Canis lupus familiaris: one gene and its partner. The protein of the gene in region 2 purifies or fractionates together with the protein of the main gene of each other region. This does not show direct contact. Links are inferred from orthologs where the notes say so. Each region holds a gene or a part of one and is shown on either strand. Other genes may lie near its edges.

Region 1 (3,646 bases), on a different chromosome or scaffold from region 2:
TCAACTCATCCATTATTTTTATACAGTCTGGTTCACTGTTAGCCATCAAGCTGTGAATCTATAAATGTAATTCTCCTTGCTGAGCAAATTCTGATTCCTGTTGCTTAGGAATTAGGAATGGAATGAAAGAGGGGGAGTGCATTCAGGACTGAAGGCTACAGTCAGAGCACATGGATTATCAAGCTCTGGTACACCCCCTAACATGACCATGATTCTTGTGCCCTAGATTATTGAATGTCTGAAAGAAAACAAGAAGCAGCTAAGTACCCGTTGCCACCAGAAAGTTTTTAAGCTGCAGGAGACAGAGATGATGGACCCAGAACTAGACTATACGCTCATGAGAGTCTGCAAGCAGATGATAAAGGTAAGGGATCCAAAACCAGGGGGTAAGCACAGGGTAATTAAAAATAACATCAGGAATCCCTGGGTGGCGCAGTGGTTTGGCGCCTGCCTTTGGCCCAGGGCGCGATCCTGGAGACCCGGGATCGAATCCCACATCGGGCTCCCGGTGCATGGAGCCTGCTTCTCCCTCTGCCTATGTCTCTGCCTCTCTCTCTCTCTCTGTGACTATCATAAATAAAAATTAAAATTAAAAAAAAATAAAAAAATAAAAATAACATCAGCTTCTTTAAACTTCAGAGCAAATTTGTGTAATCTTTCCATTCAACCTTTTTTATACAGATGACACAGTGGTTCTCCTAGTGTGGTCCCTAGACCAGCCACATCAGCATCACCTGGGTACTCAAATGCTTGGGCCCACCTTGTATCTACTGATTCAGAAACTCTAGGAGCGGGGCTGTGAGGTTTAACAAGCCTTTCAGGTGATTTTGATGCAGGCTCAAATTTGAAAACCACTGAGCTAAGCTAACTGACCTCCCTTTTACCTAAGGCCCAAGTGAATAGATAATCAGTGAATATATGATTAGTCTTTTAGGGTGGTTAGTGGTAGGTATACTGAGAAAGCCACCACCAAATGTCCTGATCATCCACCTACCACAATCAAAAGGCTTTTCTGTTCTACGAGTTCTTTTGTTTCATACACTTCTCCAGTAAACATTCTCTGCAGCAGGGCTGACTTGAGAACCTAGATGCCAGTTCCTGGATCTATCCACATAAATAAAGAGAGTCAATCTAAGATTCTGATGCCTTGTTTAAAATAAAATGCTTTATTAAAATCAACCTAAAAATAAAATAATACTTTAAAATAAAATGGTACTTCTTGGGCACCCCATGTGGCTCAGCTATTTAGCGCCACCTTCAGTCCAGGGCCTGATCCTGGAGACCCGGGATCGAGTCCCATGTCAGGCTTCCTTTTTTTTTTTTTTTTTTTTTTTTAATTTTTTTTTTTTTATTATTTATTTATTATGATAGTCACAGAGAGAGAGAGAGGCAGAGACACAGGCAGAGGGAGAAGCAGGCTCCATGCACTGGGAGCCCGATGTGGGACTTGATCCTGGGTCTCCAGAATCGCGCCCTGGGCCAAAGGCAGGCGCCAAACCGCTGCGCCACCCAGGGATCCCCCCATGTCAGGCTTCCTACATGGAGCCTGTTTCTCCCTCTGCCTGTGTCTCTGCCCCCCTCCCCATCTCTCATGAATAAATAAATAAAATCTTTTTAAAAAGTGGTACTTCAGGGGATCCCTGGGTGGCTCAGCGATTTAGCGCCTGCCTTTGGCCCAGGGCGCGATCCTGGAGACCCTGGATTGAGTCCCACATCAGGCTCCCTATATGGAGCCTGCTTCTTCCTCTGCCTGTCTCTGCCTCTCTCTCTCTCTCTCTCTCTCTGTGTGTGTGTGTGACTATCATGAATAAATAAATAAAATCTTTAAAAAAAAAAAAAAGATTTGAGTCCCATGTAAAAGCAGAAATATCAGACTCTGATTTCAGGGCATTGTGTAAGATTTTGATGACTTTTATAAAAATCAGTCAGCAAGCCACGTCAGCAACCTGTATTAAGATATCAGTAGACTTTAATTAGCAGATAGACTGTTGATTAGCACATAGAGATGGAATTTATTATTAGTCCAGAATGGATCTCTCTTACTTGAAGGATATTAACAAGTGTTCAGGGGCTAGCCACACAGTTTAGTAAGATTATAGCCCCTATAGTTAAAAGATGAACTAGACCAGTCCTTTCCCCACATTACTGTTGACATTGACTCGTGGGTGATTTTTAAGTTTCCCATTGGGATTGGGTAGATAGGACTTGTGGGTGACCTGGCCCACCTGGTACAGTGTTATGTTCATACTTAAACAGTATATAAGCTCAGGAGATGACATGTAATATAACAGCCATGTATGTACAGATTCAGTCCTGTGCAAAATAGGAAACAGTGAGGGTAGCAGAACCATGAGAGATATAGTAGAGAATAGATGGATGAAGAAAAGGGAAGTTGAGGCTGGGTGCGTATACAGACTTAGCTGTTTCTCTTGTACCAAGTGATATCTTCAAGCCTGTTCTGTCATTAGAACACCAGTAGGTGAAAGAATGATATGGATGATGTTAATTGCTGTATTTAAATAACTACTTCAAATAAATAAACAAACAAACAAATACTTATGTAAAACTTTATTTCTTGCAGAGGTTCTGTCCAGAAGCAGATTCCAAAACCATGTTGCAGTGCTTGAAGCAAAATAAAAACAGTGAATTGATGGATCCCAAATGCAAACAGATGATAACCAAGCGCCAGATCACCCAGAACACAGGTAACGTCGTGGCCTGGCTTTCCTGGTTCCAACTGAGTATGGCTCCAGTGGAACTGAGTTGATATATACCTCCCTCATTAAACTACAGGAGTTTTGTTGTATGTGGATTTTTAAGGGTAGAATAAGCAAATTGACTTCCTTCTTCAAAGAGTATCTGGGAGATCAGAATGAAAATCATAGGAAGGAGGAGACAGGAGTAATAGCTGGAATTCTTTGAAAAGTCTAGAGATTTAACAAAACTTCGTGCATGGGGTGGGAGAATGTATGGGTCATGTCTTTTAGAACAGAGAAGTTTCTGCTCTGAGTTCCAAGACTTTGTAACATAGTGGGTATTCTCACTCAGTGTTTTCCAAAACATCTGTTATGGGGAAGGTTGGGGATGACTGCTTGATTTTTGTGAGAACTACTACTGGTACCAGCAGACCCTGCAGAGCTGCTGCAAAGGAGAATTTCTGGGGTCTTCGTCTCCACATCTACTCTTTCATTAAGTTCTATTGCTGGTTAAAAGCAGCATAGTTAGGGCAGCCAGGGTGGCTCAGTGGTTTAGTGCCACCTTCAGCCCAGGGCGTGATCCTGGAGACCCAAGATCGAGTCCCACATCGGGCTCCCTACATGGAACCTGTTTCTCCCTTTGCCTGTGTCTCTGCCTCTGTCTCTCTCTCTGTCTCTCTCTCTCTCTGTCTCTCTCATAAATAAATAAAATCTTTAAAAAAAAAAAAAAACAGCATAGTGAGAGCTCAGCCAGTGTTGAGCAAATAAATCAGTGGTTTGTTGTCGTTAACATAAAGTGCCCCCTTTTGAAAGGTAAATCTCTAATATTTGTGAATCAAGGTGGAATATTTTATCATGCACTTCTGACTTTCCACTCTAGATTACCGCTTAAACCCTGTGTTAAGGAAAGCCTGTAAAGCTGACATTCCTAAATTCTGCCATGGTATCCT
Region 2 (4,261 bases):
TGCATACTTGATAACATTTTTCAGGGAGGAAAAATTCCTTCTATCCTGTCTCCCATGTGAGACCTTTAACTTCATGCCTTCAAAGAAATATGAGGAAGTGAGAAACCAAAGTAGAAGGACAGACAGATCTAGGGCACCTAGGTGGCTCAGTTGGTTGAGCATCTGCCTTGGGCTCAGGTCATGATCCCAAGGTCCTGGGACTGAGCCCCACATTGAGGCATTAGGCTCTCTGCTTGGCAGGGAGTCTGTTTCTCCTTTTCCTTCTGCCTGCTGCTCCCCTTGCTAATACTCTGTCAAATAAATAAAATCTTAAAAAGAAAGAAAAAAATCTAAAAATCTTTCAATTTCACACACTAATGTGAAATCTACATCTACACCCTAGTCCAAATATCCCTTCCTGAGTCTCATCCACGAGAAAATACTTTAGACACAATTGGTCCAGTTAAGCCACAACCTGTCCAGCCACATCCATTAACGCATATTCAGAGACTTCAAGTTGCATTTATGGATTACACGTACATCATATTCATAAGAATAAGCCTTCTACTTTTGAATCCCCTGCTGCTCCAAGATCATTGCCATAAATGTGTTCATCTTTATATATTATATCCAAATATAATACTTCAGGTATTGCTATTAGGGAAAGAATTTTCCACAAAATCAGAAAACTACATCTAAGTATCAATCCCTTATTTTGTCACTCATGCTCCAAGTAATCTGCTCTTGAAGGATTATTTATAAACCAAAACACGCTTAAATGTACTTAGAGCAGTGGCTAAAGAAATTCTGTAATTTGTCTTTTAACAAGACTGATCCTTTTGTAATGCAGATTTGGTGAAATCGTCATCGTATCTTTTTTTTTTCTTAAATCAAAACTAAAACATAACTTCATCACACAGAATTGTGTATTTATCCCCACCAGTATACGGGCTTTCAATTTAAAAATGAACAAAGAAACGAGATCTTGCCAAATTCCCCAGTGCCATACATGTGCTGCTGTAAGAAATATATTTGCCTCTAACATGTAAGGATACTCTAACTGAAAAGGGACAACAGCGCGCTTCCCAGATCGGATACTATATTAATATGCAACAAGAGAGAAATAAACCATGACCATTTTTAATTAAACAACCATCTCTAAGCAGCTGTGTACAACGCGCTGTGGCTCAAACGGCTCGCGTGGAATTTGGAATTCGACCGCAACAACCTAATCTCCATAATTAAAGACCTAAAAGGTAGTTCTTGTGTTTCATCTATTCCCTCTCCCGGTACTTTGAGCAGGTACACTGTAGTCGTTCCACACACCGTTGCTATAAAAAAAGGGGGAGGCGGGGGAGATGGAGGGCAAGAAGGACTTGAAACCAGCTGTATTCCTATAAAGGAGAAACTGCATATCCTTATTCTCCTTTCCCCCCAACCTGATTTTATAAAACTAGCATGATCTCGTTTTCACCGCAAGACGGGTTCTAGCTCCAGCAAAGCATTAAAAACTGAACCACAGTCCCGCCGCAGGACAACTTCAAAGGACACCTGATGGAATGAGGAAGATCTAACGGGCAATTCACCCGAGTCCCTTTACCACCCTTGCTTTCCTTGGAGTTCTAAAGGAGGCAAAAAAACCCCAAAACAAACAAAAAACAAAAACAAAAAAACCAACAAACAACAACTTTTAAACGATTATCTGCAAAGATCTAAAGCTGGTACTAACTGGAGGCTAAGTTACAACGATGACAACAACTTTTAAACGATTATCTGCAAAGACCTAAATAAAGTTGGCACTAATTTGAGGCTAAGTTAAAATGATGACAACTTATTTTTTTATAACAACAACTTTTAAACGATTATCTGCAAAGACCTAAAGTTGGCACTAATTTGAGGCTAAGACGATGACAACAACTTTTTTTTTTTTTTTTTTTTGATAACAACTTTTAAAAGATTATCTGCAAAGACCTAAGGCTGGCACTAATTGGAGGCTACGTTTCAGGGAAAGTTCAAAAAAAAAAAAAAAAAAAAAAAAAAAAAACGAACAGTCCTACCCTACGAAGGGTATTCTCGTAAGGAGAAGTCACTCGGGACCTGCAGCACTAGAAAGGCAAAAAACTTCATTAATTCCAATGCAAATATGCTCGACACCATCATCAGGTGGGTAACTCTCCCCATCTGTTTAAGGAGGAGAGCAGATCCTCTGTCATTTCCGACAAGGAAAGGAGAGGAGGGAGGGGAGGGGAGGAGACGGGAGGGGAGAAGAGAAGGGGAGGGGAGTGGAGGGGAGAAGAGGAGGGGAGCGGAGAAGAGGGGAACGGAGAGGAGCATAGAGGAGGGGAGGGAGGAGAGGGGAGCGGAGGGGAGAAAAGAGGAGGGGAGCGGAGAGGAGGGGAGGAGCGGAGGGGAGAAGAGAGAAGAGGAGGGGAGAGGAGGGGAAGGGACGGGAGACGTGGGGAGAGGAGGGGAGGGGAGGGGAGGGAAGCAGCGGGAGGAGAGGGGAGGAGAGGGGAGCGGAGGGGAGCGGAGGGGAGAGGAGGCCAGCGCCCTCCCGCCGCGTCCCGCCTGCCGCGGCGCCCAGGGCCCGGCTCTCCGCCCGGCCCCGAGCCCCGCGGCCCCGCAAGGGCGGCTGCGCGACAGCCCGGCGTCCCCGAGAGCCCCGGGAGCCCCGGGAGCCCCGGGAGCCCCGGGAGCCCCCGTCCGCCGGGCGCGGGGCGGACGACACACACACTCACCGGAGCGGAGCCCCCGGGGAGGCGCGGAGGCGGGGTGCCGGGGCCCTGCCCGCGCCCGGCGGACCCCAACTCCCTCCGGCGGCTGTGGCGGGCGGCGGCTGGGGCGCGGCGCTGCCGGCTCTGCCGCGAGGGGCCGGGAAGCCCGAGCCCGCGCTGCCCCCGTCCGCCGATCCCGCCGACCCCGGCTGCGGCCACAGCCGCGGACACAACTACCGCTGCAGGCGCTCGCACGACCGCTCCCGCCGCCGCCCGGCCCCGAGCGCGTCGCGCCCTAATGCTGTCATCCGCCGCGTCGCCGCCGCTCCGGGCGCCTGGGGCCGCCGCGAGCCTTCCCGTCCGAGCGCCCGCCCCCCGCAGGCCACGCCCCCGCAGGCCACGCCCCCGCTCGCGGGCTCCAGCCCAGCCCCACCTTCCCGTCACGTGCCCGCGCGCGGAGGAGGCGGCGGCGGCGGCGGCGCCCCCCTGCGGGCCGGGCCGGGCCGGGCGGCGGCGGCGCGGGAGCAGCTGTCTGCGCCGCGGGATTGCCTGCGACCTGCGTGGGGAGGCCTCCTGGACCCGCCTCACAGGGCCCCGCCTAATCCGAGGAGACTGCACCGCGCGGCGCCTGGGCAGGGCTCGGGATCCCACGACCGCGCCGTGAGGCCGGAAGGCCCGGAGGCCCGGAGGCCCCAGAGGCCTAGAGACCCAGGGGCTTAGAGACCCGCAGGCATGGAGGCCCAGAGACCCGGAGGCACAGAGGCCAGGAGACCCAGAGGCTTAGAGACCCCGAGGCCGGGAGACCCAGAGACCCAGAGACCTACAGACCCGGAGGCACAGAGGCCCGGAGACCCCGAGGCTTAGAGACCTGCAGGCATGGAGGCCCATAGACCCGGAGGCCAGGAGACCCAGAGGCCTAGAGACCGGGAGACCCAGAGGCCCAGAGACCCGGAGGCCGGGAGACCCCGAGGCTTAGAGACCCGCAGGCATGGAGGCCCATAGACCCGGAGGCCAGGAGACCCAGAGGCCTAGAGACCGGGAGACCCAGAGGCCCAGAGACCCGGAGGCCGGGAGACCCCGAGGCTTAGAGACCCGCAGGCATGGAGGCCCAAAGACCTGGAGGCCAGGAGACCCAGAGGCCTAGAGACCTGGAGGCACAGAGACCCGGCCTGGAGGCCCGGAGACCCAGGGGCTGGAAGGCACGGAGGCCAGGAAACCCAGAGGCCTAGAGACCCAGAGGCCTACAGACCCGGAGGCACAGAGACAGAGACCCAGAGGCCTAGAGACCCAGAGGCCAGGAGACCCAGAGGCCTACAGACCCAGAGGCACAGAGGCCTGGAGACTTGGACGCACAGAGACCCGGAGACCCAGAGGCAGGCCTAGAGACCCAAAGGCCGGGAGACCTAGAGGCCTAGAGGCCTAGAGACCCAAAGGCCGGGAGACCCAGAGGCCTAGAGACCCGGAGGCCAGGAGACCCAGAGGCTTAGAGACCCTCAAGCATGGAGGCCCAGAGACCCGGAGACGGGGCGGGGACCCGGAGGCCGAATGCCCAGAGACTCAGAGGCCTA

What was found. Proteins that work in one complex are often made in the same cells at the same time.
Region 1: the proteins of OSBPL8 (region 2) and GLG1 purify together in Homo sapiens (co-immunoprecipitation; 3 studies listed by BioGRID and IntAct, with this or other methods). This does not show direct contact. The link is inferred for Canis lupus familiaris from reciprocal best matches to the Homo sapiens genes OSBPL8 and GLG1.

What each region holds. Positions count from the first base shown.
Region 1 is NC_049226.1:76,731,199-76,734,844, forward strand, and holds part of GLG1 (Golgi apparatus protein 1), read left to right. Parts: intron 1-226; coding exon 227-364; intron 365-2,581; coding exon 2,582-2,705; intron 2,706-3,576; coding exon 3,577-3,646. UniProt on the Homo sapiens protein: Binds fibroblast growth factor and E-selectin (cell-adhesion lectin on endothelial cells mediating the binding of neutrophils).
Region 2 is NC_049236.1:19,605,579-19,609,839, forward strand, and holds the start of OSBPL8 (oxysterol-binding protein-related protein 8), read right to left. Parts: upstream 2,824-4,261; 5' UTR 2,718-2,823; intron 1-2,717. UniProt on the Homo sapiens protein: Lipid transporter involved in lipid countertransport between the endoplasmic reticulum and the plasma membrane: specifically exchanges phosphatidylserine with phosphatidylinositol 4-phosphate (PI4P), delivering phosphatidylserine to the plasma membrane in exchange for PI4P, which is degraded by the SAC1/SACM1L phosphatase in the endoplasmic reticulum.